Diceros bicornis minor: one gene and its partners. Each later gene encodes a partner of the first gene's protein in a complex. Links are inferred from orthologs where the notes say so. Each region holds a gene or a part of one and is shown on either strand. Other genes may lie near its edges. The genes, in order: GTF2F1, CTDP1, POLR2L and ERCC3.

Region 1 (7,434 bases):
TCCTCAAGGTGACTGGTGACACAGGGCACGGCCCCTCCAAGGGGCCAGTGAGTGATGGGAGGATATACTCCCCTGGGTCCTCAGGGATGGTGGGGGCTCTCCTGCTGGATGAGGGGCAAGGGCTGGTATGTTCCCAGGGTATTTATCAAGTTCTTCCTCTTGGTGAAGAGTGTTGGGGGGCAGGGTGCCCCCAATGGGTGGGTTATGTCTCTCGGATGATCAGTGATGGAGAATGTCCCCTCACTGAGTGATCAGGGATTTGGAAACACTGTACCCTCTTTGGACAACGTAGGCCAGGCCAGGGCTTGGGGGAGAGGGTAAAAGTGTGTTAGTTTGTGTATGAACGTGTGTGCAGCTGGCGTGTCCACACTGGCAGGTTGCTATCGCCTCTCACTGGCTCAACTGGATGAGGCAATATTTTTTTTTTCTTGCAGAGGAAGATTCACCCTGAGCTAACATCTGTTTCAACCTTCGTCTATTTTGTATGTGGGTTGCCACCACAGCATGGCTGCTGACAAGTGGTGTAGGTCCACGCCTGGGAACCGAACCTGGGCTGCCAAACTTAACCACTAGGCCACAGGGCTGGCCCCAAGAGGCGATGTTTTAAAATAGTCGAAAGACAGGACTGTGCTCACAAACAAGATGAGCACTAGGAGTCACTCAACTGCGGGAGGGTCCGAAGCCGCCGTCTTCAGACTTCTGGTCAACTCCTCTGCCAAGCAGGTTCAGTCTCTGTGGCTTTAGATGCCACCCCAAATACCCAGATCCTCCACCCCAGTCTCCCAACTCATGTATCCAACTTACTGTCTCCTCCTTGAGGTCTAACGAGCAGCTTGACTATAAGATGTCTAGCACTGAATTCTCAAACACTCCGTCCAAACTGCACTGTCCCCAGGCTCTTCCATTTCAGTAAATGGAATCGTCTGGAATTCTGCTCTGGCCCTCACCCCTCAACATCCAATCCATCAACAAACCCTGTTGGCTCCACTTCCAGAACACGCTGGAATCCAACCACTTCTGACAACCTCCGTTAGCTCCAGGCCCATCATCGCTCACCTGGACCAGAGCCGTCGCCTCCAGCCCTGTTCTCCCTTCATGTGCCCTCGACCCCACGGCAGCCAGATCACTTTACGACTTCCCTGCTTAAAACCCGGCTTCTGCTATAGACTGAATGTTTGTGTCGCCCCAAAATGCACATGTTGAAACCTAACCCCCAATATAATTGTATTGGGGGTGGGGTCTTTGGGAGGTGCTAAGTCCTGAGGGCGGAGCCCTTGTGAATGGGATTAGTGCCCTTATAAGAGGACCCCAGAGAGCTCCCTTGCCCCTTCTGCCATGTGAGGACACAGCAAAAAGGCGCCAGCTATGAACCAAGAAGCACGCCCTCACCAGACACCAAATCTGCTGGCACCTTGATCTGGGACTTCCAGCCTCCAGAACTGCGAGCAATAAATTTCTGTTGTTGACAAGCCACCCAGGCTCTGGTATTCTGTTATAGCAGCATGGACGGACTAAGACAGCTTCCAAAGTCCTTTCTAGAGCCTCTGACAACGGGGCCTCTGAGACCATCTGTAGAATGCAGCCCCCTCTCTTGCCCCGATAAATTTAGGCCAAAAATGCCCCCCAGTGGGCACAACTTCTAAATGTTCTCCTTTGAGGAGAAGGCCTCCTGTGGGGCCCGACAAATCCTACTCCAGGGATGCCCAGCAGCCCAGCCTGGGTCTTAGTCATCATTTTACCTCCACTAAGGGAGAGCTGAGGAAACTAAGCCTTAGTTACTATTACCACGAAGCAACTATTACAACCACCAAGTCCAGGATTGGGTTCTCTCTCGCCCTTAGAACCGGGACTTACCTGGTTCCAAGTCGCGAAGTTGACTTTATCGGCTGCATTGAAGGCCATGATATTATATTTTTTAGTTGTGTTTCTGGAGTGGGCAAGAAGAGGTAGTGCTTAGTCAGTCAATCAATCATTCGTTCAACAAACCCTCCCGGGCTCAGCCTTTTGTGCCAGGCAATGCTGGGGACCCACAAAAGACCCCAGAGGTTCCCAGTCGGTCAGGGAAGCTGGATCCTACTCTCCCAAACCCATGCAGAAGAAGAGCAGAAGGAAGGACAAAGACTCGGGGGCACGCAATATGTGGGGATAATCGGGACCTCTGAGCTGGGGAGGGGGGAGGGCAGGCAGGGAATGCTTCCTGGAGGAGGAGGAAAATACTGGAACTGGGTTTTGTAGGATCCACAAGAATCCCCCCAGTACAGTCACTGTTGGGGAAAACGCATTCCTGGCAGAGGAAATGCTAGGCCACGGGGCTGCATCGTACTGCGTATTAAGCTACTCATTCATTCTTTCATTCCGTTCAAAAACCAGAGAGGCCTCAGCTCCACCCCAGCCCCGCCCTCAGGTCGCGCCGGTCCGGAGGGAGGATCGCAGGCGGTGCCGGGCCGCCTAAAGGCTCAGGCAGGTTTAATCGCTTTTTTGCGGGGACTGGGAGATGTGGTCAAGGACTTACTTGGGAACGCGAACGACATACTCGGTGACATTCTGGCTGCCGGGGCCCTGCGGGGAGAGCAGGCGGGACGGTGAGCGCGGGGCCCCAGAGGCCGCCGCCGGGACCCCCGATCCCCGCCGCGTACTCACGAGGGCCGCCATGGGCGACGGTCTGTGGCTCGGGTCCAGCCCGATCCGGGTCCTTCTGGCCTCCCCCGGGGTCCGCGTCCCTCAGTCCCGGGGAAGCCGCCCGCGCGGTGTCGGCTCTCTGGCCGCGATCGAGGAGCCCGAGCCCGAGAAGCCGCCGATCCTGGGAAAATCTACCCGGAAGCGGAGCCCCGTGGGCCGTCAGCTCCTGCCGCGTCTGCGCCTGCGCCGCCGCCTAACCCGGAAGCGAAACTCTCCCGCGGGCCGCGTCGCGATGGCAACCTCCTCCGCGGTCGTGGACCCCTCGACTCACTGTCATGTATCCCCCCTGTCCCTTTTCAAAACGGTAAGCCCAGGGCGACTCTGAGCTACAGGAAGCGCCTTCTGTCGCTGACCTCTATATATAGCGCCGTCAATCTAATCGCGACGTGTGGGAACGCCTTCCCCGTGACGTCATCACTCAAGGACCGCGGGGCCTCCCGGGACGGGAGGGAGAAACTGGCCCTCCTCGCGGCCTCTCGGGCGCCGTGCGCATGCGCCTCCCCACTCCGGAAGTGAGTCCAAAGAGGCCGCGTCACCATAGCAACTGAGGCCTTCTCTGCTGCTTCGAGCCGCCGCTCCACCACCTGAACCTCTTCGAGGTTCATTTCCTCCCCCTGCCCCGGGGGCCCCCATCATCTCACTAAATGATCGGGCCAGGGGCCCTTGTGACGTTGAGCTGAGCCGGGAGAGGTCAGGGACTGGGTGGGGATGGGGCGCGACCACCCCACGGGCCGCTGGCGGGATGGGTCTTTGCAAGTCCAAGCTGCCCCAGATGGGCAGGTCCCTGAGGCCCCAGGAGAAGGGTAACATCGCGGGGGTGGCTGGCTTACTGCGGGGAAGAGAAGGAGGCTGTGGAGGGCAGGAGGGAGGTCCTGGTACCCCATCCCCCAAGTCCAGATGTGCACACGCTCCCCCTCCCGTCCCCACCGTGGTAGTAACACAACTGCGCATGCTCACGGATCAGCCATTCATTGATCTACTGGAGCGCCTTCTGTGCTAGTTTCTGGGCGCTCCGCGGTGGCTATATCAAACCAGCTTCCTCTCCTCTTGGAGGTTACAGTGTAGTGGAGGAGACAGTCTCAGAAAATGGTATCTACAACCCAGGAGGGAACAGGACTGCCACAGCGAAAGAGCAGCCGGCTCTGAGGGCTCAGGGAAGAGGGGAGGTTTAAGCAGGGCCCTGCGGGATGTACAGGAGTTGGTTAAGCAAAGGGGGCTGGAAGCAAGACACCAGAATTGCACTATAAACTATGGCACTCCATAGACGTGTCTGATAGCCGTGGACATTTATTCCTCACCCACTACTCTATGTCAGGAACTGTGCCAACTACTAGTAATATAGGGAGAAGCGAGACAGAAATAGTCCTTGTCCTCATGGAGTATAGGGTCTGGCTGGGGAGACAAACAACGAGTAAACAGGCAAATCAATACTGATCGTGGCTGTTGCTGTAGAGGAAATGGGGTTCTGAGACAGGGAATCATAGGGTGGGAGGTTCTTTAGAGAGAGCTTAGAAAAGGCCTGATGGGTGAGCTGCGGCCTGAAGGCCCTGGGGCAGGCACTTCTGGGTGCAGGGAACAGCAGGGGAGGGATGAATTGGGCAAGTTCAAGAGACAGAAAGGAGGCCACTGGGACTGGACCGGAGTGAAGGAAAGGGAGGGTCGTATAGGATGAATCGGGAATGGGCAAGTCCCCGCCCCCCTCTGAGCCTCAGTTTCTCAACTGTAAATGGGGTGATAGAGTCACTGCCGTGCTTCAAGGAAATGCTGTGTGCAAAGGGCCCGGCCTGCTCAGGTTCACATCCTTCTCCACAGCAACCTGCAGCAGCACTAATGCACGACATGCCTGGATATACCATTGGGCGTGGATGTGCACCCCCGGATGCCACCTTAGGGCAGAAGTGGGTATACCTGCAGACCTGTGTCCACTGTCACCCAAGGACACGCACTGAGCAGTGCACACAGTCACATCAGCGCCTGCTGGCCCCTACAGGCACCAACCCTTCTCCCTCTTCCCCGGGCTCCGCAGACATCCTCAAGTCTCCCCTGATCGTCTTCGTGATGGGCGGCCCAGGCTGTGGCAAAGGGACGCAGTGTAAGAACATGGCGACCAAGTATGGCTTCTGCCACGTGGGGCTGGGCCAGCTGCTGCGGCAGGAGGCCCAGTGTGGCACCCGGCGGGGCCAGAAGATCCGTGACATCATGCTGCGGGGGCTCCTGGTGCCCACGGTGAGAGCCCAGGGTGCAGGGGCAGAGGCAAGAACCGGGTATGTGGGGACAAACTTCCTGGGAAGGCCCTGTGGGAGCCGTGGCTCCTGGCCTGCCCACTGCTTTGCTGGGCTGAGCCTCGGTGTCCTCAGCTGTCAAATGGGACACCAGATGGACCCACAGCAAAAGTCTGTAGTGGTGAGGGTTGGATCACATCATTCCTATAAAGCACTTGGCAGACTGCCTGGCATTTAAGAAGCGCTCAATAAAATTAGCTAGTATTTATTCCCTTTGTGACTCTGGACATAGATATCATTCCCCTTCTGCACCCCTTTCCTCACTTGTAAAATTAAGTCAACCCAGTGCCTACCTGTCAGGTGGTAGTAATGAATAAATGAGACCAGCAGGCCTGGCACATGCTGGACACCCACCCAGAAGACGGTCGCTGTGCCCAGTTCTCAGAAGCGCTTCCGGAGGCCCCTGGGGATCAGAGCACATTCAGAATCCCGGGTGCTAGGCAGGGCTTGTGTTTCCCCTAACTCACCTGAGGTCCAGACTGAGCAAGAGGACTGGCCGAGGTGACGGCGTAGGCGAGGGCCCCCGGGTGCTGAATCCGGCCACCCCTTTCCTTCCCAGGGTGTCATTCTAGATCTGATCAGCGACAACATGTTGTCCTGCCCGGAGAGCCGGGGCTTCCTCATCGACGGCTTCCCCCGGGAGCTGACGCAGGCCAAGGAGTTCGAGCGCATTGTGAGTGACCCCAAAGTGTGTGAGGAAGCTGTTCCTCCCTCCCCACCGTGGCTGGGGATCAGAAGGGGTGAGACTCAGGAGAGAGGAGATGACAAGAGGGAAATGGAGTTTTCTATTATCAAGGGACAGTCAGGAGATTGTTGGAAGCTTCTAGAACCCGGGGTGAGTGGCTGGTGAGCTGAAGGCAGGGACAAAGTCATTTTAATGTCTTCCTGCACAGTTCCTGGCACCTGGTAGATAAACTGCTCACTGAGAAGCAGGTGGATTTAGCATCATTTCTGGTCCATAAAGATGGAATATAGTTATTCAATCATCTATTTATTCAACCACCTGTCCCCAAATAGTCCTTGAGAACAGACTATGTCCTTGAGAGTTCATGAGACAGACTCAGGCCCTGGTCTTAGGATGCCAATAGACAGGCACCGAGCAATACGTGATGTGCAAAACAAAACAGAAATTTCTGGCAGCGGTTAGCGCAGGGAAGAACGGAAGACAGAATGCCGTCCTGGGGGGACGCGAGTGGGCTGTTTCAGTTTGGATGGTCCATGCGGCCCCCTTGAAGCGGGGACATCGGCCAACTGAGCGATGAAGGAGGAGCCAGCCGGCGCTGGGCAAGTCAGAGTGAATTTCTTCAGGTTATTGTTACACGTCAGCCACGCTGACTTTAGGAAAAGGCCGGTCCGGGCACCCGAACAGCCATGACTGGAGTGTCTGGACATGGCTGAGCAGGAAGAGAGAAACTGGCAGTCTGCAGGCCTCCGGGCTTTTCTGGAAATGGCTGGATTGGAGGGGAAGTGCCTTCAGGGAAGTCCAGGTGCATTGAGGGAGTCAGACAAAGGTCACCGGGGCTGGGGCCCCATGGGTGGGTGGGGCCCTGCCCGTTGTCCCCACTTCCATTGAAGCCATTCTGTCCAGCTCATTGTGATGAAGATAACGGGCTCCCTCTCCTGGTCTGGGACCTCCCAGGGCAAAGGCCGGGCTCGTGGATTTTTCTAGTCCTCGTCCGCCCTGGGCCAGCGCCTGGCCTAAGGTAGGCGCTCTGCAGCGTTGAACACTTTTTTTTTTAAAGTTAGTGGCCAACCTTCAAAAATCGGGAGATGCCACATAAAACTCTCAGCTTCTCTTGAAAACTGCCTGACTTGGCAGCACGGGGCCTGCACGTCCCCATGGCAACAGCAGCGTGAACTCATCCCGAGCTTTTTACCGAGCCCAGTGCTGTTCTCGACACATGGCACGGATGAACTCTGATCTTCCGGAACATTCCAGAAGCACGTGTCTCGCACTGTTAGCACCCCGCTTTTTCAAAGAGGGGTTGGGGAGCTTGCCCAGAGTCACACAGTTTAGGAGGTGGAGGCAGGACTTAGGCCCGGGCGGTCAGGCTGTGAGCCCCCAATTTTAACCATGCCACCGTTCCACTGTGGAGGGGGTATACCCCCTCTGCCTCACCGTGGTCCCCCTACGCCCAGTTCCTCCCTCACAGAGGCCCAGCATCCTCCACCATTTAGGATCTTGCTTGCATTGTGGTTTCATGCTAAGAGGAACAGAACGCATGCTTTCCCCTCGTACCCGTGTGGCTGCCAGAGTGAGAACATGAAAGAAAATGGGGCTCTGTGTTACGAGAGTGGGTTTTCTTTATTTTATTTTATTTTTTTCTGTGAGGAGATCAGCCCTGTGCTAACATCCGCCAATCCTCCTCTTTTTTTTTGCTGAGGAAGACTGGCCCTGGGCTAACATCTGTGCCCATCTTCCTCCACTTTATATGGGACGCCGCCACAGCATGGCTTGCCAAGCAGTGCGTCA
Region 2 (7,957 bases), on another chromosome or scaffold:
ATCGGATCTCTGCCTCACACCATACACAAAACATCCATTTCTCATTATTTACAGACTTAGCTGTGAAAGACAAACTTCTACAAAGCCCAGGTTAGGGAAGGCATTCCTAAAATTGAGAACTTCTATTTATCAAAAGATCTCATAAAGAAAATGAAAAAGACAAGCCAAAAATGGGTAGACGATGTGGGTAACAGATAATAAAGGCTCTGTATTCAGAAACCATAAGGAACTGCCACAAATCCATAAGACAAAAGCCCAACAGAAAAATGAGTGACGAGCATGAACAGGGATTTCACAGAAAACACAAGGCAAATAAAAAATAGGAAAAGATACTAAGCCAAAATGCCTATTAGGAGAATTCAAAGTAAAACCACAACTTTTAATTTTAACACAGATTTCCACCTAGATTGGCAGAGATTAAGGAGTCTGATAATACCAAATTGTTGAGGATGTGGTGGGAGTATAAACTGAGACAACCATCTTCAAAACTAATTTGGTGTTCATTATCTCATAGATCTGAACATGTGAACATCCTACGACCCACGGTTGCACACTCAGGTCTACACCCTCAGGCATTAACTCCTGTGCCCCAGGAAACACGCAGGATGCTCACTGCAGCACTTCCCATAACACCACAAAGTGAAAACAATTCCAGTCTCCATCTACAAGAAAATGGACAAATACATCCTGCTACATTCATGCAACAGGCTATTACACAAGAGTCACAATAAATAAACTATAATCAAATAAAATAATAAGAACTTGGATACATAGTGATGAACAAAAAAAGCCATTCACAGATAAGAAACATACATACGATGCATTTTTATAAACGTGGAAAACAGGCGTAACTAAACGATAGCTTTGTGTGTACATAGACACACACACAGCAAAACCCCATATAGAATAATGGCAACCAGGAGACTGAAGCTGGCGGCCACGCTGGTGGGGAACTGAGAGGACAAGATGGGATGGTGAGGTAGTTATAACAACACTGGTAATGTTCTAAACTGTAGGTGGGCTGACGGGTTCATTCTAGGATCACAGTCTTTGGTATGTACACAGTTTACGTAGTTTTTAAAGTGGGGAGAGAAGAACACAGGGAGAGAGAGATCCGAGTAAAGCTATGAGACGTGACCACCGGGCAGAGATGTAACTGTAATCCTCACCCATGTCTTTCCCCCATCACTTCTGTTTCACAGAAACATTGCCCCTACTCCCTCAAGGACCAGCTTGCTCTTCACGTATTCCTGGCCCAGCCTGGACCTTCCAACACAGCCCCTCCCTACTGGAAAAGTCAGCCCTTGGTCTCACCTGAACGCTCCACAGTGGTTGACCCACTGACCACTCCCTGCTCGCTGCTCCTCCCCCTTCTCTGCCTATGACATTACTGTAGCCACCTCCCCACAAGAGAAGCTCCCCTCACTTAATGTCATGTACACTGTCCCCCCAGAACCCCCAGGAACCTGCTCACTGGCCCTGCTCTCCCACCAATGGCTGACTTGACTACATGCCCAGGCAACTCAGACATAACAGATTCCAAGGGGACTCATCTCTTCCCAATGTGTCCTGTCTCCCTTTTCACTAACCCATCCAACAAGTAATAAAACCCACTGGTTAACTCAGAAACTCTCCCTGCGACCCTCTCATCTACTGAGATAATCCCAGAACTGGGACATCTACTTCTGGGCTCTCTCTGCCCTTAGCTGCTAGCTTTGACTTAAGCACAGATTGGGTAAGCACATATGTCAGCTCAAAAATTTTTAATGACTACCCGCTGCCTACCAGGGTGGTTCTCAAACCTTGATACACATTAGAAGAACCCAGTGAGCAAAACTCCTGATGCTCCAGCCCCACCCAACACCAATTAAATTAGAATGAGGGATGGAACCGTGGTATCAGTAATTTTTCAAACATCCTAGGCCTGTTCCTCACATTTTTTCCACAAAGGACTCTATTAAGAGAACGCCCAGAACCTCAATCATGATGGATGGTCCTTATGCCTAGAATGCCCATCTCCTCTTCTCCTCATGCCAAGACCCCATCCACTTCTTCTTCCAGGTAGGATGACGTAGGTAGAAACCAGCTATGGCTCCTGCTGCAATAACTTGGGAAAAATAGATAAATGCAAATATCAAGACATCAGATAGGTCTGGAAAGTAACAGGACTGAAAGAAGATTCTAGAGGAAAGAACCATTCCTAGACAAACTTCTTTCTCTCAGTGGCCCTTTCCTTCTCTAAGGCATTTGATGAGTCTGAGCAGTCTGACCTTGAGCTTGACAAAGACGGGGAGACTGGACTAACATGAAGATAACTCCTCTGCTTGGGCTTGCGCGACAGACTGGAAACAGATGAGCCCCAGACACCCGGTGGCTTCCTCACAGGACATTTGCTTACTACTAGGGACACATGCAGGATTGGGGGTATCGCTGGGTTGGCAAAATGGTGTGAAATCTCCTGCAGTTGGAAGTGATTCAATTCCCACTAACAGGAAGGGCCCACAACAGCACACAGGAAGGCTCACTTCTGAGACATCTGAAACCAGGAGTGGACTGAGTCATACCTAAGACTTGAACACAGCCCTGCCCCTAATCAATTCTTGATGGAATGGAGGTGATTGGCCCTTCACCCTGTATGCCTACAGAAGAAAGGCTCAGGCATCCTGTTCCTACGCTTCTTCGGTACAGCGTCTGGCACACTAGTAAAAACAATCCCAACAGCTGCATCCCGTGTTTCTCTAGAAGTCCTGGGGAGAGCACCGGGCCTCATGGGCTAGTGCTGAAGGGAGCGAGCAGAACCAAGGAGTGAGTCCTGAGGATCTCACTGGGCAGCAGCTGGGAGGAGCCAAGAAGGCTCTCTGGAGCATTGCAGATCCGCCTCTTGAGGCTTCTAGACTGTTTGGGGTGACTTTAAGGAGGCGAGGAGCTGGAAAACTTGCAATAGCCAGTGAGCCTGAAAAAATTTGTTCTTTGTGACAGCTAGAGTGACCTGGGCGTGGTGAGAGGGACTGAGCTCCTTTTGTCAGCAAAAGGATTCAGGCAACAGAAAAAAACAAAACGCCAGCACCGCAAACAGGTCAAGATAAGGCCTATACAGCTAATGCGTGGCCTTCTGGCGTCCATTAGGATTGTGAAACACCAACCGCCCCCACGGCAACAATGTGAAAACTGTGTTGCTACTTCCTAGGGAGCAGGGTCCAAGTCACACTACTAGAAGATACATGCTTTCACTCAACAGCGCCAGACTGTGTTAACCCCAGAAAATGATGCTCCTTTGAGTGAGGGTACTTGCTTCCCGGACAACCAGAGGAAAAACCAGCGACAACTCTGTCTTGCTGGGCAGTGTGGCTTCCTTCAACACCCAGCGAGCCTGGACCTGGGCTTTGAAAAAAGCTTCTAGAGAAGGCTGTATGGAGGCTCAGAGGCGGGAGTAAGAAAGCGCTGACGAAGAAAATCCTCTTCGAAGGGTCCGGAGTCCACGAGGCCCCCATAACACCGAGATGAAATCATTTCTGTTTACCTGGTGTAGGTCTACTCCTATTTTCTACTTCCTCTTGAGTCAATTTCCGTATTTTGTCTTTCTAGGAGTTGTTCCCTTCACCGGTTACCTGATTTGTTGGCACACGGTCGCTCATGACGCCCTCGCGCTCCTTTCCACTCCTCTAAGGCCGGTAGTACTACTTCTCCGTCTTGCTATCCTGACTTTAGTCATCTGACGTCCCCTCTTCCTCCATCTAGCTCACGGTTTGTCAAACTTGCTCACGTTTTCAAAGCAGCACCTGCCGGCCTGCAGATTTGCTGTTTTCCGTCGCATCCACTCCTGCCGTGATCGTGACTCCTGCCTCTGCGCCGGGTCGTCCGCCGTTCCTTCCGACGCCGCAGGTCGCCGCGGACGCGCTCCTCGGGGCCCGCACCCGCGCGGCGCAGGCCGGGCGCGCCCGTCTCCCTCCCCCCACGGGCGCTCGCTCGCTCCTCGGCGACCGCGAGCCCTCCTCATCCCGAGCGCCGTCCGAGTGCCGCAAACCGGGATCCGGCGGCTCGCTTCCCGTTTCGCTGACCCGCCCCTCTCCCGCTCCGCGGGAACGGTCACCGGCAGCACACGGCCCGCCCGGAGAAGGCGCGCACACGGAGAGACGGGCGCCCCGGGCCCCCGCGCGTCCTCACTGACCCGCCCCTGAGAGCGCCGCCGTCGAAGCGCCACCCCCCCCCCCCGCCCGGCCGTTTCTCCGCGGCCTCCGGGCTCTGCCGTCGGGGCTCCGTCAGGATGCGCCTGCGCGTGAGGCTCCACAGGGGCCGCCCCGAAGGTGACCTTGAGGGCCCCGGGCGGCCCCGAGGGCACCTCTCCCCTGCGGGCCAAGGCGGGAGGCCGCCCCACGGGGGCACGTCGGCAAGGCGGCGAGGAGGAGGCCAGCGTCGGGGACCCCGAGACACTCGACCGCCGGGGCACATGAGCGACCCGGCGCCCTCCGCCCTCTGACCCTGGACGGCGCGCCGCATGCCGGGACCGCAGCTCCACGACGCCCGCGTTGTATGCCGGGACCAGCCGTCTAACGACACCGAATCTCAGCGCCTGACGAAGCCGTGGGACGGCGGCCCGCATTGCATGCCGGGCCTCGTAGTTCTCACGTCGCCGGGCCTGAGCTCGTGACGGGCGGGGCTGTGGGTCGGCGGCCCGGGTTGCATGCCGGGACCCGTAGTCCCAGGACGCCAGCGACCCTAGGGCAGATGGGGCGTGTGGTGACACTGTTCCTGCCGGGCCCACCCCGCACGGTGGTCCTAGGACGCTTCCGGTACTCGGGCCGGCGCAGCGCCTCTCGCGCCCGCGTGGGCGTGTGTTTACCCGCAGGCCCCTCGGCGTACGCGCACGTACGCGGCGTCACGTGACATCGCACGCCGTCCCGGAAGTCGGCGCGGGCCAGGGCGGCGGGTGGAAGCCGGTGCCGGAGCGGGAATCGCAGCGCCGCCGCCGCCGCTTGGGCCGGGTCGCCCGCCCGCGATGGGCGTCGGGCCCTGAACGCCCGCCCGCCGCCGCGTTTCCTCAGCGACCCGCCGGCCGCGATGGAGGCGCCGCTCGCCGGCCGCCTTCCCGCCGAGGGCGCCGCGCCGGCCGCCGTGGCTGAGGTGCGCTGCCCGGGCCCCGGGCCGCTGCGCCTGCTCGAGTGGAGGGTGGCGGCGGGCGCGGCCGTGCGCCTCGGCTCCGTGCTGGCAGTGTGCGAGGCCGCCGCGTCCGCGCAGCCCGCTGGGCCCGCCCCTGCCCGCGCCGGCGCCGGGGGTTGCGTGCGCGCCGAGCGCCGGTTGAGGTCGGAGCGCGCCGGCGTGGTGCGGGAGCTGTGCGCGCAGCCCGGCCAAGTGGTGGCCCCCGGGTGAGTGGGGCCCGGGGGAGGGGAAGGGAGGGGATGCCGGACCAGGAGAGGGGATGGGGCCGGGGTCTGGAGGGGGTTTCGGGCCAGGAGAGGGGAAGGGAGGGGGCCGGGGTCTGGAGGGGGTCTTGGTCCCGGCACTGGGCGGGAAAGGGTTCCCAGGACTGCAGCTGAAGGGGCTGTGCTCACTGTGCGTTTGCGGGTGTTTCTGAGGCTGGACGACAGTCACTGCTTGTGATTTTATCAAATGCAGGTGTTTGCCTTTAAAAGAATTCTTGAGCCGCCGAAGTTGCACTCTAGGAAACAGTGCGGTCGTTCCTCTTTTTCTGTAGTAGGTGCCTCCCTGTCTCTGAGATGCCGCGTTTGTAAGTTAAGAAAACTCGGGCAGCTCCACGCTTCTCGCGGTGTAAACTGGGGGGGGGGGAGTGCGTTTCTTTAGGTTTGAGTAAATCTTGTGAAGCGCGGTTGTGAAACCTGGCGCAGTTTTGCATCAGAGCTCGGGAAGGGGGTGCAGTCTCCCGCGAGTGGTTCAGGGCGACAGAATAGAAGCACACGCTCCCACCGTAGGGTCTAGCTCTCTGTACGTGCGTTTTAACCTCATAAAGGGCCTTTTTTCTTTTTTTGCAGTGTGTGAATCCGATAGTCTACCTGTCTGAATTTACCGGTGTTGTGCTCTGAGATTTGATTGATGTGTGGGCACAGGTGTGTGCCCGTGGCATGACTGTGGTTGTCATTGTCAGGAGCAGAAAGCCAGGGTAGGTGAGCGTTCCTGCGTGTAGTGATTGGTGCGCAGCTTTCCTCTGCGGAGCCACAGGGTGTCCTGGGTGTTCAGGCCCTTTCTGCCCACGTTGGCCCTCCTCTGGCGCACGGTGCCACTTGCTCTGGTCTTGGCTCCTCTCCCTGTGGCCTGCACTGATCCTCTGGCTGTTGAGCATCTGCCGCCTGCCCTCCACCCCCCAAGAAGCTGATGACCAGGATAGGATGGGAAAGGACTGGTCTTTATCTCAGCCCCAGAATCCTCATCCTGTGTTCCCTTTTCCTAGGTCATTGTTTGGAGACAGAGTCTGGGTCCTCAGCCTTCAGCTCAGGCACCCACGCCTACCCACGGAATGCAGGTGGGGTGGAAGGGGAGCTGCCTCGTGGCACCCTCCACCGGAGCCCCCTGCCTGGCTTCTCGGAAGACAGGGGCTCACTGTGCCGTACATGTGACACTCTGGTATGCTGCTGTTGTTATCTTGGAGTCAGATCTTACCTGACCATCGCTTGCGCCCTAATGAGCCCATAAACCCGTCAGTCCGTAAATTATGGAGGTGAAGCCCAATGCTGTGTGTCGCTGTGTAGAAAACCCTGAAGTGAAAAGCTCTTCTCCGTGTTGTTCTGTTTCTCTGGTGTAGAAGGCTACCAAGGCCCAGACAGGGCAGTGACAGGTCACAGCTGGTGAGAAACACCACATGCATGCTTTGACCCCATCAGCTGGTCTGGCCAATCGCAGGAGCCCAATGCATTGATCTCACCAATCAGCCAGTTCCCAGCTGTGAATAGTCTTTTTCTTTTTGTGTGTTTGGTGTTGAGATCCTGGGGTGTCTCACTGCGGTGGTCTGTCATGGGTTCCTTGAGAGCCTGTTGAGTGGCAGCGTTTCTCCTGGGATGCAGGTGTGAGTGAGTATGAGGAAGGCACCAGCACAGAGCCAGGCTTACCTGGCTGGAGCTGTTGTTGCCATCGTCATCGCTGTCATCAGCAGGATTCATCCTGACCGCATCGGGTTATTCTCTGGCAATGAACAGTTCTAGGAGCTTAGAAATGTTGCATCTGGGTGTAGTGGACATGATCACCCCATTACCGTTGCGACCTGTGGTAAGATTGTATGTGTTTGTAGTGCTTCATGCCATCAGGTAGAGGTAGGAACTATCCTTACTCCACAGACTGAGGAGGGGACTGAGGTCCCAGAGGTTTTGATGTGTGCAGCACCTTACCTTGCTGAGGCCTGCCTCGTTTTCTCCTCCGTGTTGCCCTCTCCTTAGGCCATTCTTCATCCGGAGAGTCTCAGTGGGGGCAAGTAGATAGAATGACGATTTATGTTTTTGTAATATTTGTGTGGGTTAAAATTATCTTGATTTGAAAATATCGTGACAGGGTACCATTTGTCAGAAACCAACTCTGTTAGTTATTAGTTTACCTAATGATGTCCGTCCTTGTTTGCTCTTTTGTCTGTCGTCATTGACTGGGAGATGCTGAAGTCCCCAAAAAAAAGGAAGATACGTAAAATAATCAGGGAATGAGTTACCATCGAGATGGGTAAGGAGGAGGCTGTGGGAGCGTCTTTGTTCTCAGTGGGCGTCTGACCAGCTTTGTCTGTGCCCCGTACCTGGTTTGTCTGCAGGAAGAAAGTCTGCCTCAGCCAGTCTGGGGTGAGCGCCGCCGGAGAGCAGGAAGGAGGATTGCTGGATAACGTGAAGGCCCAGCCGTCGCAGTATTGCTGTCTCCCTTGCTCTGTAGACTGAAGAATAAGGAAAACAACCTGCGATTAGTACCCGGTTTTAGGGTTCTAAAATTAGGTAGTGACGGTTTTTATTAAATTCTAAACACAGTTCAGTCA
Region 3 (6,698 bases), on another chromosome or scaffold:
ATGCCAGAAGCCAAAAAGCACGCATCACACCCAGCATCACACAGGCCTGAGGCTGGGTCTGCATGCCCTGTTACCCCCAGACCTGGGCATCGGGAGATGGGCCTCCTAGGCAGGCCCTAAAGGGCAGACCACCAGCACCTCTCATGGCCCCCCAACACTCCTGGGTCCTCACATATGAGGAAGACCCATGGCCAACACCAAGCTGAGTGTGGACGAGACCACTGCCTGGCCACACTCCCAGCCCCGAGCGCAAGGCAGCCCCTGGACCCTCTGTGAATGAGCTGCAGCCCTTCTGGCCTCCACAATGCCCCTTCACGAAGGGCCCCGACCCCCATCCTATGCGGCCCAATGCAACACTGCAGTCAGGGCACGGGTGCAGGGGCTGGACAGGCCCAGGGCTGGCTCCCTCCCTCCCCAGGCCCAGCCTCCTCCTCCAGGACACCTCCCTGCCCCACTCAACGCTCTAGGCTTCCTTCGAGAGCAGAGACCAACACGTCGTCGCCCCCCAGAACGGCACACGTAGCAGGGAGCAGGGATGGGGCTGAGCGAGAGCCCCAAGACAAACACCCCCACAGCCTGCCCGCCCTGAGCTGGGCCTCTGGACTCTCCATGGCCCCTGGGTGGGGGCAGGTGGGGGGCCCCGAGGGACCGTGAGCCACACCTACCTGGCTAGACCAAGGTCCCATTCAAATAGAAACCTCCCCAAAAGCTGAAAGAGCGCTTGCCCACGCGGACTTGGAGGACTTGGAGGCCTGGAGCTGATGGGTGGCTGCCAGTGGCATGACCCACCCAGAGCCTCAGCCGCGAGCAGCAGCAGGGGCCTGGCCCAGGAGCACACATACAGTGGGGGCAGCTCAGGGTGGAGAGCAGAGCGGAGCCCGCCCACCCCGGGCCCCCAGGCCGAGCCGGCTCTGAGGCGGCTTTGAGGAGCCAGGGCCCCGCCAACACAAACAGGCCTGTGGTGTCCGCCTTCCTGCTGCCTGCCAGGCCCCAATGCCCACCCAGGCCCCGACCCTGGGGGAAAGGCAGGCTGGTACCCCCTCCACACACAGAGCCTGGGCAGGGCCCTCTCCCCACACCCAATCCACAGCCTCCCGGGCTGGGAGACACTCGCTCCAGTGGAGGGGTCCCTAGGGGAGGGGTCCCCGTGAGAGACGCCACCCAGAGGCCCCCAGTCTCTCCTCCTGGGCCCACCGAGGCCAACCCCAAGCTCAAAGCCTTGCCTCCTCACCCCCCTCTCATCCTCCCACCCTCAGGTATTTCTCTGCTAGAGGCCACGTGGAGGAGGGGGTGGAGGAGACACAATTAGGACCTGGGAGTGGGGGGAGCCTTCCCACCCACCACAGGCCCTGGGAGCACCCTGCCTCAGGTGCCCAGTGTGTGCCCACCTACCTTGCACAGACGTGCCCACCCGGCCCCGTGCCACAGAGATCCCTATAGAGCAGTACCCTCAGGGATGTCCGGAGGGTCAGTAGGTTAGGGCCATTTTGGCCTCAAGCACATCTGCAAATGCCACCACTCACGACTCCACATTCCCCAGAGCCCAGAGCGTTAAGTACTGGTGTGGCAGGCAGTGACCTCGCCCGACCCTGGGGAGGCGTCTGAGCCTGTATGCTCACCCCACCCGACCCCGCACGCCCCCTGTGTGAGCCCACATCTACCAAGCAAGCAGGGCCAGGGGCCGAGCCTGGGACCGCACGCCTGCACAGCCAGGATTGGGACCCTCCCGCTGGGCAGCTTCTGGTTCCACCCACACTTTACAGACCAGGAAACTGAGGCTGTGACCTAGGACCAGGGGGCAGGGTGAGCCCTCTCCCAGGCTGGGTCACCCCTGTGGCCAGCCTGTTTCCAGGGCAACCCTCAGGGCTGGAGGGTCTCAGCAGCTCAAACTCCAATCGCTGATTTCCCCTTGTCCGGTCTGCCCTGAAGTGACCCCCTCCGGCAGGAAATGAGGCTCAGGGGTTCCAAACCACACATTAGCATGGCCCTCCTTCCTCGAGCCCCCACCACCGGGGCGGGACAGTCCACTCTCAGAAACCGCGCCCCGCTCTCCCGTCCCCATCTCCGGCCCTCCCCAGAGGCCTAGGCTCCACACACACCCAGGGGAGAAGCTAGGGCCCCCACCTACCCTTGCAGCAGACACGGCCCCACCCCCAGCCCACCACCTCCTGCCCCTGCCCACCCTGAAGAGAGCCCGGCCCACACCCCAGCCTGCTCCTCCCAGAGCGTGTGCACACACACACACACAGACATACGACCACCCAGGCCCCGGCAGCAAGGCAGGGCTGACCTCTGAGGCTCCCCCAGGGTCCTCTGGTCCAGCCTGAGCCACAGCAGAGTCAAGACGGGAGGATCAAGGGCCCCAAGGAGCCTCCGTGCACACGGGTGTTGGGAGTACGTGCACAGGCTGGGACAGCGGCAGCCACGCTGCTCCCCATGGCCTCTCCTGGGAACTCAGGGAGCTGGAGGAGGAGCTCAGGAAGAGGAAGCCGGCCACCACCCCCAAATCCACACGCAGCGCTCAGAATTCCAGGAATGTCAACTTGGCTCTGGCCAGCATCAGGGCGGGAGGCTCATTCCCCTCACTCTCTCGGAGTAAACAACTGCTCACGAGTCAGGGCTGGAGCAAGGGTGGGGCAGGCCCTGGGCCCCTCCTCCAGGAAGCCTTCCATCCCCCCCTAGCTCCTGAATGTCCACCCAGCGGACATCCCGGAGCCCCTCCCCTGTCTCCCTCACCTCCACAGCCACCGGTAGCCTCTGCAGCTGAGCCCGAGTCCGACTCCAGGCCACTGTGACTCAAGGCCCCCGTCTTGCTCCTCTGGTCGGGGACAGGATGTGCGTCCAGTCAGCCTGGGGGAGGGCAGGGAAGGGAAGTGGCCTCAGCTCGTGGCTCTGCACGTGGCAGGGTGGGGGATGGCAAACGCCACTGGGGAAGCTGTCCAGAGCCCAGGTGAAGGTGGGGACACAAATTCCAGGCAGGCAGCAGCTCTGGCCAGCCCCACCCAGGACCCAGAGGACCCTCCATCTCCCTGCTCCCCAACTGAGGCCAGAGTCCATCATCCACCCTGAGAGGGCAGTTAGCTGATGCCTGGGACCCAACGCTGGCCCCATCCCAATCAGAGATCCAGACACCCCAGGCCAGTGAACATGCCCAGAGCCTGCACACGCAAGTAAGTCATAGGCGCCACTTTGTAACACATCCACCCCCTACTGCCCAAAGCTCACCTCCTCCAGGGAGGTTTCCCTGCCTCTCACTACACACTGCCCTCCCTGCAGACCCCAGCCCCGGGATCACCCGCTCAACCCACCCCATTTTCAGAGACACAGCCTCCCATCCCTTTAAATCCTCCATGGTTCCTGCCCCATGACCTCGAGCTCCACCACCTCCTCTGCCCTAGTGCAAACCTGTCTCCTTGAGCTGCTCTGCAGGTACAGCCTCCAGGTCTCTGCCCGAGGGTTCCCTTTGCCCGGATCTGTCCTGCTCTCTCACACACTCAGGCTCGCCCCTGGGGAAATCCTGTGTTCTTCAAGGTTCAGCTCAGGGGTACTTCTTCGAACACACTCTCCCTGACCACCTTCCCTAGCCTCTGCTCCCCTCGGGGTCCTCAGAAGTCCGATGCCCTCAGATCGCGGGCGATCCAGCGCAGCCTGGCCTGGGACAGGTGCAGACTCATCCCACACCCCCTCCCAGCCCCTTCCCTGGGAAGAAGAGAGGAGCCGCCGGCCCAGCCCGGCACCGGCCCGATTGCTCCCAGCGCGCCCTCAGCCGTCGGGGCTGCAGGTAACTACCCGGCTGGGACCGATACTATGCGGGGGAGTAGGCTGGGCGGTGCCCCGAGGGGCCAGGCCGCGGCTGGGAATGGGATCCCCAAATCAGCTGCAGAGACCCCCCAGGCACTCGCAGGAAGAGGCTGCAAGCAGGAAGACCCTCGTCCGGGCCGGGCGGGAGGGGCAGCGGGAAGACCTGCCCGTGGTCGCCCGCTCCCACCGGCCTCGCTGGCCGGTCAGCCCCTTTCCGCCCCGCAGCGCGTCTCCGCGACCCCGGCCCCGGCCCCGCCACTTGTTGCTGCGGCTCGGCTCGGGGCTCCGCGCTGGGGCACGAACTCCGCGCCGGCTCGGCTCTGGGCCCGCTCCTGGTCCTGGGCCCGGTCCCGGTCCCGGTCCCGGTCCCGGTCCCGCTGCGGCGGCAGGACCCCGGCCACATCTTCCAGACCAGCGCAGTACCTGAGCGCGCCGTCTGCCCGCCGCGCAGCTGTCAGTCATGCGGACACGAGAAACGCGAACCGCCGACGACAACCCTTTAAGGCCCCGCGCGGCCGCCGTAGGCCGGGACGTACTAAAGCAGCGGACGGGGTGGTGCCTCCTGTTCCTGCCGCTGCCGCGCGGGGCCCGTGACCTCCGACCCGCGCGGAGGGAACTCGTGGCGGCGGGAGACGGACGCCGGCGGCGCCAGGGGCGGGCAGGGCTGGCTGGCGGCGGCCGGGGACTGGGCGGTCACCCCCCGCTCTATAGGCGCGCCCGGGGCGGGGCGGTCACCGCCTGCTCTATAAGTGCGCCCGCGGCGGGCCCGGCGCCACACGCAGAAGCGTCGCCGGGCGGTACGGTTGTGCTCTTCTGTTCCACAGCCATGATCATCCCTGTGCGCTGTTTTACGTGCGGCAAGATCGTCGGCAACAAGTGGGAGGCCTACCTGGGGCTGCTGCAGGCCGAGTACACCGAGGGGTGAGGCGCGGGCCGGCGCGGGAGGGGAGGCTGCCGGACCGTCGGCCTGCGGGCTGCGGACGGGGTAGCGGGGTCCGGGCCTGCAGGACGGGGTCGGGGTGGGGGGTCCCGGCCTGCGGAACGGGAATAGGGGTAGGGAGTCCCGGCCTGCGGGACGGGGATAGGGGTGGGGGATCCCGGCCTGTGGGAAAGGGACGGGGGTGGGGGGTCCCAGGCTGCGAGCGGGGAGTTGGGAGGGTCCCGGCGTGCGAGGTGGGCAGAGGCACTCATCAGATGCCAGGTGATGCTGCAGTTCCGAGGTACCTTCCAGCCTGACCTTCCCTCAGGACAGCGTTGCCTCCCACTGCCCGCCAGCTTGGGGAGAGGTGGGGTGTTGGGCATCAAGCAACTGGTGTCTTGGGGACACCTAGGTATGCTGGCGGGTTACCGTGCCTCTCTACCACAGTTAAAACTCTCAGCCTCCTCTCCCTGTGCTTGCTTCCTAATCTTGTTTCTTTGTCATTAGGTCCACATCTGTACCCGGCAAACCCACTTTCCTTTTAGGACGGAGGATAAGCTTTGTGACCACACAGCCGTCCTCATCAGGCTGTTGTGGGTCCCTTTTCTGTGCTTGCCCTTTAGCACTACAGTTACCACCATGCCTATTCTAGTCTCTCTTCCCTACTAGAGGCTAAACTTTGGGCCCTGTGTGGACAGCCCTGTGTCCTAATCAAATTTGAACCCCTGGGGCTTGGGGCATGCCAGCACGCCATAGGCTCTCAGTGCAAGTATGTTGGATGAACGGGGAAGCCATAGGTGGGCTGAGTGTTAGCGCCAAGCCCTGATGAGGCTGCTAGTGACGAGAGTGCTAGGGAATGGCTGGCAGCCTGCATGAGACCCCTTCCCTGGGATGCCATGGGCAGGGACCTCCCAGCCTGGCCTCCTCTTTCCCAAACTACTATCTCTGCTCGTTGGAGGCAATGATGTGGAAATATTCAGGCCTTGAGGGTGACTGGGGCTGGGTCGCAGGGAAATTGAGAGCTCTAATTGGCTCAGGAAATGAGAGAGGGGGCTCCCTGGAGTGGAGTGGGGCTGAGGAAAGATCCCACAGCAGCTGAGTGGGACTGAGTATGGCCTGTGCACGGCCCTCTGTCTGCCAGGGACTGCCAGGACAAACTGACCACAGCCCGTTCTCTCCTTGCCGGCAGGGACGCCCTGGATGCTCTGGGCCTGAAGCGCTACTGCTGCCGCCGCATGCTGCTGGCCCATGTGGACCTGATCGAGAAGCTGCTCAATTATGCGCCCCTGGAGAAGTGACTGCGCTGGAGTCTGCCCGCCCGCCTGCCGTGCTGACCACTTGCCCAGGGTTCATTCCACCCAGGGGTGGGCAACCAGGAGCAATGCCTGCCCCCAGCTGTGTGGGCGTGCGTCTCCCACTCTGGAAGGAATCATCCAGTAAAGGTCTTGGCAGAACCACAAGGAGGTTCTAACAGTTGGCCTGGTTTTGTGGGACTTCCCACCGCCTGCATTTCTGTGTCCTGTCTCATGCCTGAGGCCCCTTGGGGGTGAATGCAGCCCTCACTGCCCAGGAGGCGGGAGAGCCATCCAAATGGCAGCTGCTCCTCAGCCTGGAGGGTCTCCCTCTGGGGTGTGTGCTGTCACAGCCCAACAAAGCCACAGACAACCAGGAACCCTGGGGGTAGGGGAGATGCCGGGGGGACACTGGCATCCCCATGCCCAGGTTCTGAGCCCCCTTTAGGCAGAGCACAGAGGTCCCCACATCCTCTCTCCCAGGATCTCAAGAACCAGATTTTCTGGGCCCTGAATAGAGTGCCCACTGTGGTCATGGCTGTCCATCCTGAGGGTCCTGCTGCCAGAAGCTTCCAGGTTCCCCCCAAGCCCAGCAGGCCCCTCCCCTTGGCCAAGTTCCTGCCGAGGGCGAGGAGCAGGGCCTGGCCTCCAACAACCAGCCCTGAGACCCCCACAGCAGGTCGGGG
Region 4 (7,533 bases), on another chromosome or scaffold:
TATATTAACTGTAATCACCATCCTGTATGTTAGATCCCCAGAACTTAATCATCTGCTAACTGAACATTTTACTCTTTGACCAACATCTCCCCATTCCCCGCCACCCCCTAGCCCCTAGTAACTACCACTCTACTCTATGTTTTCATAAGTCCAGATTTTTTTAGATTTTACATATACATACAGTATTTGTCTTTCTCTGTTTGACCTATTTCACTTAGCATAATGCCCTCAAAGTCCATCCATATTGTCGCAAATGGCAGGATTTCCTTATTTTTCATGGCTGAATAATATTCCATTGTATATATATATACCATATCTTTATCCATTCATTCCTTGACAGACACTTAGGTTGTTTCCATATCTTGACTATAGTGAATAATGCTGCAATAAACATGAGAGTGCAGATATCTTTTCGAGATCCTGTTTTCATTTCCTTTGAATATATATCCACAAGTGGTATTGCTGGATCATACAATAGTTCTATTTTTAATTTTTTGAGGAACCTCCATGCTGTTTTCCATAGTGGCTGTACCAATTTACACTCCCACCAGCAGTGCACCAGGGTCCTCTTTTCTCCACATCCTTGCCAACATTTGCTATCTCTTGTCTTTTTGATGGTAGCCATTCTAACAAATGTGAGGTGATATCTCATTGTGGTTTTCATTTGCATTTCCCTGATGATTTGTGATGTTGTGTCCTTTCATGTACCTGTTGACTATTTGTATGTCTTCTTTGGAAAAATGTCTGTTCAGTTCCTCTGCCCATTTTTATATTGGATTGTTTGTTTTTTTTGTATTGAGTTGTATACCGTCTTTACATAATTTGGATATGAACCCCTTATCAGATATATGGTTTGCAAATATTTTTTCCCATTCCATAGGTTGCCTTTTCATTTTGTTGATTGTTCCTTTTGCTGTACAGAAGCTTTCTAGTTTGTTGTAGTCCCACTTATTTATTTTTGCCTTTGTTGCTTGTGCTTTTGGTGTTATATCTAAAGAATCATTGCCAAAACCAATGTCAAGGAGTTCTTTCTCTGTTTTTTTTTCCTATGAGTTATATAGTTTCAGGTATTATATTTAAGTCTTTAACCCATTTTGAGTTAACTTTTGTGAGTGGTGTTATTTAGGGGTCCAATTTCATTTTCTGCATGTGGTTATCCAGTTTTTCCAACACTATTTATTGAAGAGACTATCCTTTCCCCATTGAATTTTCTTGTCAAATATTAGTTCACAAAATATTTTTTTGTTTTTATTTTCTTATTTTTCCAGATTTATTAAGGAATAATTGACACCTAAAATTATATATATTTAGGTGTACAATGTGATGATTTGATATATGCATACACTGTGAAATAATTACTACAATCAAGTTAATTAACACATCCATCACCTCACATAGCTAATTCATTGTGTGTGCGTGTGTCTGTGTGTGTGTGTGTGGTGCTAACTCTTAAGATCTACTCTCAGCAAATTTCAAGTATACAATACATTATTAACTACAGTCACCACGCTGTACATTAGATCTTTAGAACTTATTCTTCTTATAACAGAAAGTTTTTACCCTTTGACCCATCTACATTTAAAGTAATTATTGATAAATAAGAACTTACTATTGCTTTTTGCTAATTGATTTCACATAGTTTTGTAGTACTTTTGTTCCTTTCTTCCATCTTGCTGTCTCACACAAAATATTTTCTTAATGTTAGATTAGCCATTCTTCCTCATCATCTTCAGTAAAATTAACCAGGTTTGGCAGAAAGAGCTTTAAAAAAAAAGGCCATATGTTTAATCCACTATTTCTATTTCTCAGAATTTGCCTTAAAAAAACAATCCCAGATGCAGTTAAAGACTTATATCCAATGATATTCATCACAGGGCTATGTATAATAGGATAAACTGGAACTATCCCAATGCCCCAAAATTAGGGTTTGACTAAATAAATTATAATACTGCCATACAATGGAAAATTAAGTACTCATTAAACATTCATTTTAATGAGGGGTGGATAAAGCTTATGTTAGAAGGATATAAAATTATATGTTCAAATAACATCTTCATGGTGTAAAAAGAGCAACTCACAGAAAAAAAGCCTGGAAGAAAATAACCCAAAATGTAGATAGCTAGGGATAGTGTTATCCATGATTTAAATAGCCTTTGCTATGCTTTTCTCTGCTTTCCAAGATTTTTACATGGCATGTATTACTTAAATCAGAGGGAAAATATAAAAATGCAAAAACCAGTTTTACAGGTGTGGTTCTGGGGCCAGCCCGGTGGCGCAGCTGTTAGGTGCACGCGCTCCGCTTTGGTGGCTCGGGGTTTGCAGGTTCGGATCCCGGGCGCGCACCGACGCACTGCTTGTGAAGCCATGCTGTGGTGGCGTCCCACATAAAGTGGAGGAAGATGGGCACGGATGTTAGCCCAGGGCCAGCCTTCCTCAGCGTAAAGAGGAGGATTGGCATCGGATGTTAGCTCAGGGCTGATCTTCCTCACAAAAAAAAAAAAAAAAAAGGTGTGGCTCCTCCACTTCTTGAGTAAGTGAAATTCATTTAGGGCAGAGACCAACAAACCTTCAATTTACTGAAGGTCATTAAGCTGAGAAGTGATCTCTACATTGCCAATCCTGTGGCTGGGTCTCAGTCTTCAATTTGCTCAGCTGATCAGCAGCATCTAATATAGCCGATCACTTCCTCCACCTTAAAATGAAATGAAATAAAAGCAGGACTTCCAGGACTCCTGATTTTCCTCTCCCACTGACTGCTCCTCAACTGGTGTTGCCCAGTTCTCCTTCATCTTCCAGCCTCTTCACTGTGAAATGTTCCAGACCTTTGCTTTAACTACATTCATTCCCTAGGTAACCTCAATCAGTTCTATAGCTTCAGTACCACCAATAGGTTGACAATTCCCAAACTTATATTTCTAGGTCCCTGAACTTTAGACTTACATCCAACTGCATTCTTGACACTTCATTTAATTGTCTAATAGGCCACTTCTATGGACTGAATTGCATCCTCCCCAAAATTCATGTTAAAGCTCTAACCCCCGACGTGACTGTATTTGGAGACAGAGCCTGTGAGGTGATAAAGGTTAAATGAGATCATAAGGGTGGAGCCCTAATCTGACAAAGCTGGTGCCCTCATGTGAAGAGGAAGAGACACCAGAGAGCTTGCCTTTCTTTTAACTCCCATGTGAGGACATAGTGAGAAGGCAAGAGGGTGGCCAACTGAAGCCAGGAAGAGAGAAAGATCTTCATCTTGGACTTCCAGCCTCCTGGCTGTGAGAACTGTGAGCTGTGAGAAAATAAATTTCTGTTGTTTAAGTCACACAGTCTGTTACAGCACTCCAGCCAACTAATATAGCCACTCACATTCAAAATGTCCAAAACACCTTTCAATCTGAACCTTCCCTAAGGTACACCATTTTTGCAGTTGCTCAGACCAAAAACCTTGGAGTTCTCCGTTAGTCCTCTCCCTCACTTTCCATATCCAGTCAGTCAGCAAATGCTGCTCTAACTTCAAAATATATTCAGAACGGAATCACCCTTCATCACCTTTATCCCTACCACCCTGGTAAAGCCAACAATTTCTCAACTGGAGGGCAGCATTAGCTGCCCTTGACCTTATAAAGTCTATCTTCAACATAGCAGCCAGTGTAGAGTGATCCTTTAATACTAAATCAGATTGTCACTTCTCTGCTCAAAACTCTCCAGTGGTTTCCCATTTCAAAATAAAATCCAAAGTTTTTGCAATGGCCTACAAAGCTCTACATCAGTGGTTCTCAAACGTAAGCATCAGAATCTTCTGGAGGGCCAGACTGTTGGGCCCACCTGCAGAATTTCATGATTCAATAGGTCTGGGATGGGGCCAGATACTTTGTATTTGCGCCTTTCTAATTAGTTATCACCAGTTTCCATATGATGTTGATGCAGCCAGGGGACCCCATTTGAAGAACCACTACACTACATGTACTGTACTATGTCCTCTCCCCTACGTCTCCCAGCCATACTGCTCCCTCTCAGCCTCCTCTTCGACGACGCCAACCCTGTGTCGGCCTCACACCTGTGCCCGCACTGCTCCTCCCTGGTACTTACATAGGACACTGTCTCACTTTCTTCAGATCTTTTGCTGAAATAACACCACTTCAGAGGTTTTCCGGGACCACTCCATTTAGAATGACACTACCTGTCACTGCGGGCCGTTTTATTTCTCTTTAGAGCTCTTAGCACCGTATTTGTTTACTGCCCACACCTCTCTACTAGAACTTAAGCGCCAGGAGGCCAAGGGCTTGACATTGTTCACTGTCCTACCCCAGCGGCTAAAACAGTGCCTGGACGATCACAACAGGTGCTCAACAAATATTTCATTGACTGACTACAGCAAAGAATGGGGAGAAAGGAGCCTCCGCCAGGGTCACACCACACACGCTGCTCGGCCGCCACGCGCCGTCGCCTGCCCGGCGACCCGGCACCCAGAGGCGGGACTTCCTGTGTGGTTGCCGAAAGAGCTTCCTGTGTGAACCGGAAGTCTCCCTGGGACCTGTAGCCGCGGCGGGCCGGCGGCGGTGGTGGACTGGGGCTGTAGCCGCCATGGGCAAAAGAGACCGGGCGGAGCGCGGTGAGACGCGGCGGGGGCGTGCCTGGGCCTACCTGCACTTGCCGTCTCCGTCGTCCTGTGTCGTAGCTGCCCCGCGCTGCTCGACCCCGCCGCCCCTCGGCCTGCACACCCGTGTCCCGACGGGCCGCTGGGCGGGGGCGAGCTTGGGTCTTTGGGCAGCCCCGCGTCCTGCCGGGTGGGAAGGTTTGAGGGAGAGTCGCCCCGGCTGCAGGTGGACCCCTCTGGGAGTGCGTGGCGCTGGTGGCAGACGGCTGCGGTCAGGTTCCCCCGGAATGCAGCTGGGCGGTGCGGAGGGGACCCTGGGCTTCTCCTGCCCGGCTCACTTCTGTGTCCGCATCTGCAGATAAGAAGAAGTCCAAGAAGCGGCACTATGAGGACGAGGAAGAAGATGAAGACGACGCCCCCGGGAACGACTCTCAGGAGGCGGTGCCCTCGGCGGCCGGGAAGCAGGTAGATGAGTCCGGCACCAAAGTGGATGAGTATGGGGCCAAGGACTACAGGCTGCAGATGCCGCTGAAGGACGACCACAGCTCCAGGCCCCTCTGGGTGGTAAGCATGCTCTCAGCCAGGCAGGGCCCCAGAGTCTGTGGGGCCAAAGTGGAAATGCAGGGTAGTGCTCTTAAGGACTGGCTGGAAGAGAGCTTTCCTACACAGTTTGAACAGCCCGAGATGGGAATAAGCAGGAGGGATGCACACATGGGCCGGCTAGACGTGGGCTTCCTTCATCTCTAACCCCTCCTTTTACTCCCCTTCCCTCGATAGTTCTACTGCATATTTGGAAATACTTTTATCTACCAAATAAATGGCATTTATTATGTAACATTTTAGTTCCTCGTTTTTATTTATTTTTTATTTTTATTTTTTTTGGTGAGGAAGATCAGCCCTGAGCTAACATCCATGCTAATCCTCCTCTTTTTGCTGAGGAAGACCGGCTCTGAGCTAACATCTATTGCCAATCCTCCTCCTTTTTTTTCCCCAAAGCCCCAGTAGATAGTTGTATGTCATAGTTGCACGTCCTTTTAGTTGCTGTATGTGGGACGCGGCCTCAGCATGGCTGAACAAGTGGTGCGTTGGTGCACGCCTGGGATCTGAACCCCGGGCTGCCAATAGCGGAGCGTGTGCGCTTAACCACTAAGCCATGGGGCCAGCCCCAAGTTCCCCATTTTTAAAAATTAATGGGAGACATATATATGTATATATTTGGTAGGCAACTTTTTGCTCAACTTGAAGTCATTAATGTTCTACATTTTATTTGAAGTCTAGCCCAAAGGGAACTTGAGGAGAGCCAGTAAGGTAGGCTTTCCCTGTGAAGAATAGTGGGAAGCAGCTACTGACTTTGAAAACCTTTACTTCTTTTCCTCTCTGTTCTTTGTATCTGATTAAGTAACAGGCCCCCCAGTTGACTGAAGGAGTGCTTACAAAAATATCCCTGGTGTTGAAACACTTAAAGATCACTTTTGGGGCAGCTTATCTCTTCTAGATAATGATAAGAGAAAGAGTCTAATAATCTCTGCAACTCATTAGTTTCCTTGTCTGTTGTGACGGTTTGGTGTTTCTCAGGCTCCTGATGGCCACATCTTCTTAGAAGCCTTCTCTCCAGTTTACAAATATGCTCAAGACTTCCTGGTGGCTATTGCAGAGCCAGTGTGCCGACCAACCCATGTACATGAGTACAAACTAACTGCCTACTCCCTGTATGCAGCTGTCAGCGTTGGGCTGCAGACCAGTGACATCACTGAGTACCTCAGGAAGCTCAGCAAGACGGGAGTACCTGATGGGATTATTCAGTTTATTAAGGCAAGTGGAGGCTGAGGCTGGCTCTTTTGCCCTACTTGTCAATGTGGTAATAGTGGAGACAGGTGCTACATTTTGTTAACCTGTGGCGGTCATGAAAATGCCATTCAGAGCTAGTGTGGGGAGCATAAAAACTGATTACCCTAGCTGCTGCTTCTCTGGATCCAGCATTGTGTTCTTGCTGAGGCCACACTTACCATGAGCTGCTGTTAGCCAGTGGGTACTAACACAGTGGGGGTAGTAATTTAGGCCCATTCTGGCCAGGGTTATTTGGGAATGCAGTGCAAAGTGAATGATGTTATGGACTGAATTGTATCCCCTCCAAAATTCATATTGAAGCCCTAACCCCTAATGTGATTGTATTTGGAGTAAGGAAGTAGTTATGGTTAAGTGAAGTCATGAGAGTAGGGCCCTGATCCGATAGGATTAGTGTCCTTATCAGAGGAGACACCAGAAGACTCATGTGCTCTCTTTCTTTCTTTGCACATGCACAAGAAGAGGTCATGTGAGCACACAGCAAGAAGGTAGCCCTCTGCAAGCCAGGAAGAGAGCCTTCACTAGAAACTGAATCCCTGGCTTCTTGATCGTGGACTTCTAGAAATAAGTTTCTGTTGTTAAACCACCCAATCTGTGGTGTTCTGTATGGTAGCCCAAGCAGACTAATACAGGTGGTAAACTCCATCTAAGGCTGAATACCTGCACCAATGGTCACAATTTCCATTAGGGAAAGTCAAAAAGAACTTCAGATGTTGAAGTGGGTAGGGTTCCATGTGAAGAGCACCTTGAACATGCTTGGGTTTGTTCTGAGAGATACGTGAATGCCATTTAGAAGAGATGGACGGTGGCTTTTGGTGCCCTCTGCTGGTCTAAAGGGAGTTGGATTCAGACCCCTAAATCTGGAGTGGCAGAAGATGAGTGCCATAGGCATCCAGCACAGTAATGTATCCAATCTCAGAGAAGCTGGCAGGAGCCCTGGAGAGAGTTTTCTCTTCTTGTGTGTGGAAGGGTGCCCAGGGAGAAGGGCCTGCACCTCACTGGAATGAGCCTACATCAGCACCCTGGTTGTGCTCAGTCTTGGCTGGGAGCTGCCTACAGGAATGTAGGTGTTGGTGCAGTGCTGTGATGGATCC

What was found.
Region 2: the proteins of GTF2F1 (region 1) and CTDP1 are in contact, whole or in part, in an NMR structure (PDB 1ONV), measured with the Homo sapiens proteins. The link is inferred for Diceros bicornis minor from reciprocal best matches to the Homo sapiens genes GTF2F1 and CTDP1. Residues at the interface, in NP_002087.2 of Homo sapiens: Thr470, Lys471, Leu474, Gln478, Ser486, Thr489, Val490, Leu493, Ala494, Leu497, Lys498, Leu500, Asn501, Pro502, Arg504, Met511, Phe513; in NP_004706.3 of Homo sapiens: Ala946, Asp947, Met949, Ala950, Lys951, Ala952, Leu953, Glu954, Glu956, Leu957, Asp959, Leu960, Met961.
Region 3: GTF2F1 (region 1) and POLR2L share a complex: the UniProt entries of both Homo sapiens proteins name them as parts of the TBP-based Pol II pre-initiation complex. The link is inferred for Diceros bicornis minor from reciprocal best matches to the Homo sapiens genes GTF2F1 and POLR2L.
Region 4: GTF2F1 (region 1) and ERCC3 share a complex: the UniProt entries of both Homo sapiens proteins name them as parts of the TBP-based Pol II pre-initiation complex. The link is inferred for Diceros bicornis minor from reciprocal best matches to the Homo sapiens genes GTF2F1 and ERCC3.

Annotation. Positions count from the first base shown.
Region 1 is NW_026691615.1:1,989,659-1,997,092, reverse strand, and holds the start of GTF2F1 (general transcription factor IIF subunit 1), read right to left. Parts: upstream 3,009-7,434; 5' UTR 2,653-3,008; coding exon 2,641-2,652; intron 2,560-2,640; coding exon 2,513-2,559; intron 1,928-2,512; coding exon 1,855-1,927; intron 1-1,854. Other genes in the region: adenylate kinase isoenzyme 1-like, read left to right, coding at 4,348-4,905, 5,521-5,634. UniProt on the Homo sapiens protein: TFIIF is a general transcription initiation factor that binds to RNA polymerase II and helps to recruit it to the initiation complex in collaboration with TFIIB. It promotes transcription elongation.
Region 2 is NC_080755.1:67,832,301-67,840,257, forward strand, and holds the start of CTDP1 (RNA polymerase II subunit A C-terminal domain phosphatase), read left to right. Parts: upstream 1-4,946; 5' UTR 4,947-5,058; coding exon 5,059-5,363; intron 5,364-7,957. UniProt on the Homo sapiens protein: Processively dephosphorylates 'Ser-2' and 'Ser-5' of the heptad repeats YSPTSPS in the C-terminal domain of the largest RNA polymerase II subunit. This promotes the activity of RNA polymerase II.
Region 3 is NC_080770.1:1,179,208-1,185,905, forward strand, and holds POLR2L (DNA-directed RNA polymerases I, II, and III subunit RPABC5), read left to right. Parts: upstream 1-4,573; 5' UTR 4,574-4,627; coding exon 4,628-4,722; intron 4,723-5,909; coding exon 5,910-6,018; 3' UTR 6,019-6,183; downstream 6,184-6,698. UniProt on the Homo sapiens protein: DNA-dependent RNA polymerase catalyzes the transcription of DNA into RNA using the four ribonucleoside triphosphates as substrates.
Region 4 is NC_080749.1:5,633,439-5,640,971, forward strand, and holds the start of ERCC3 (general transcription and DNA repair factor IIH helicase subunit XPB), read left to right. Parts: upstream 1-4,515; 5' UTR 4,516-4,581; coding exon 4,582-4,609; intron 4,610-4,952; coding exon 4,953-5,158; intron 5,159-6,169; coding exon 6,170-6,406; intron 6,407-7,533. UniProt on the Homo sapiens protein: ATP-dependent 3'-5' DNA helicase/translocase. Binds dsDNA rather than ssDNA, unzipping it in a translocase rather than classical helicase activity. Component of the general transcription and DNA repair factor IIH (TFIIH) core complex.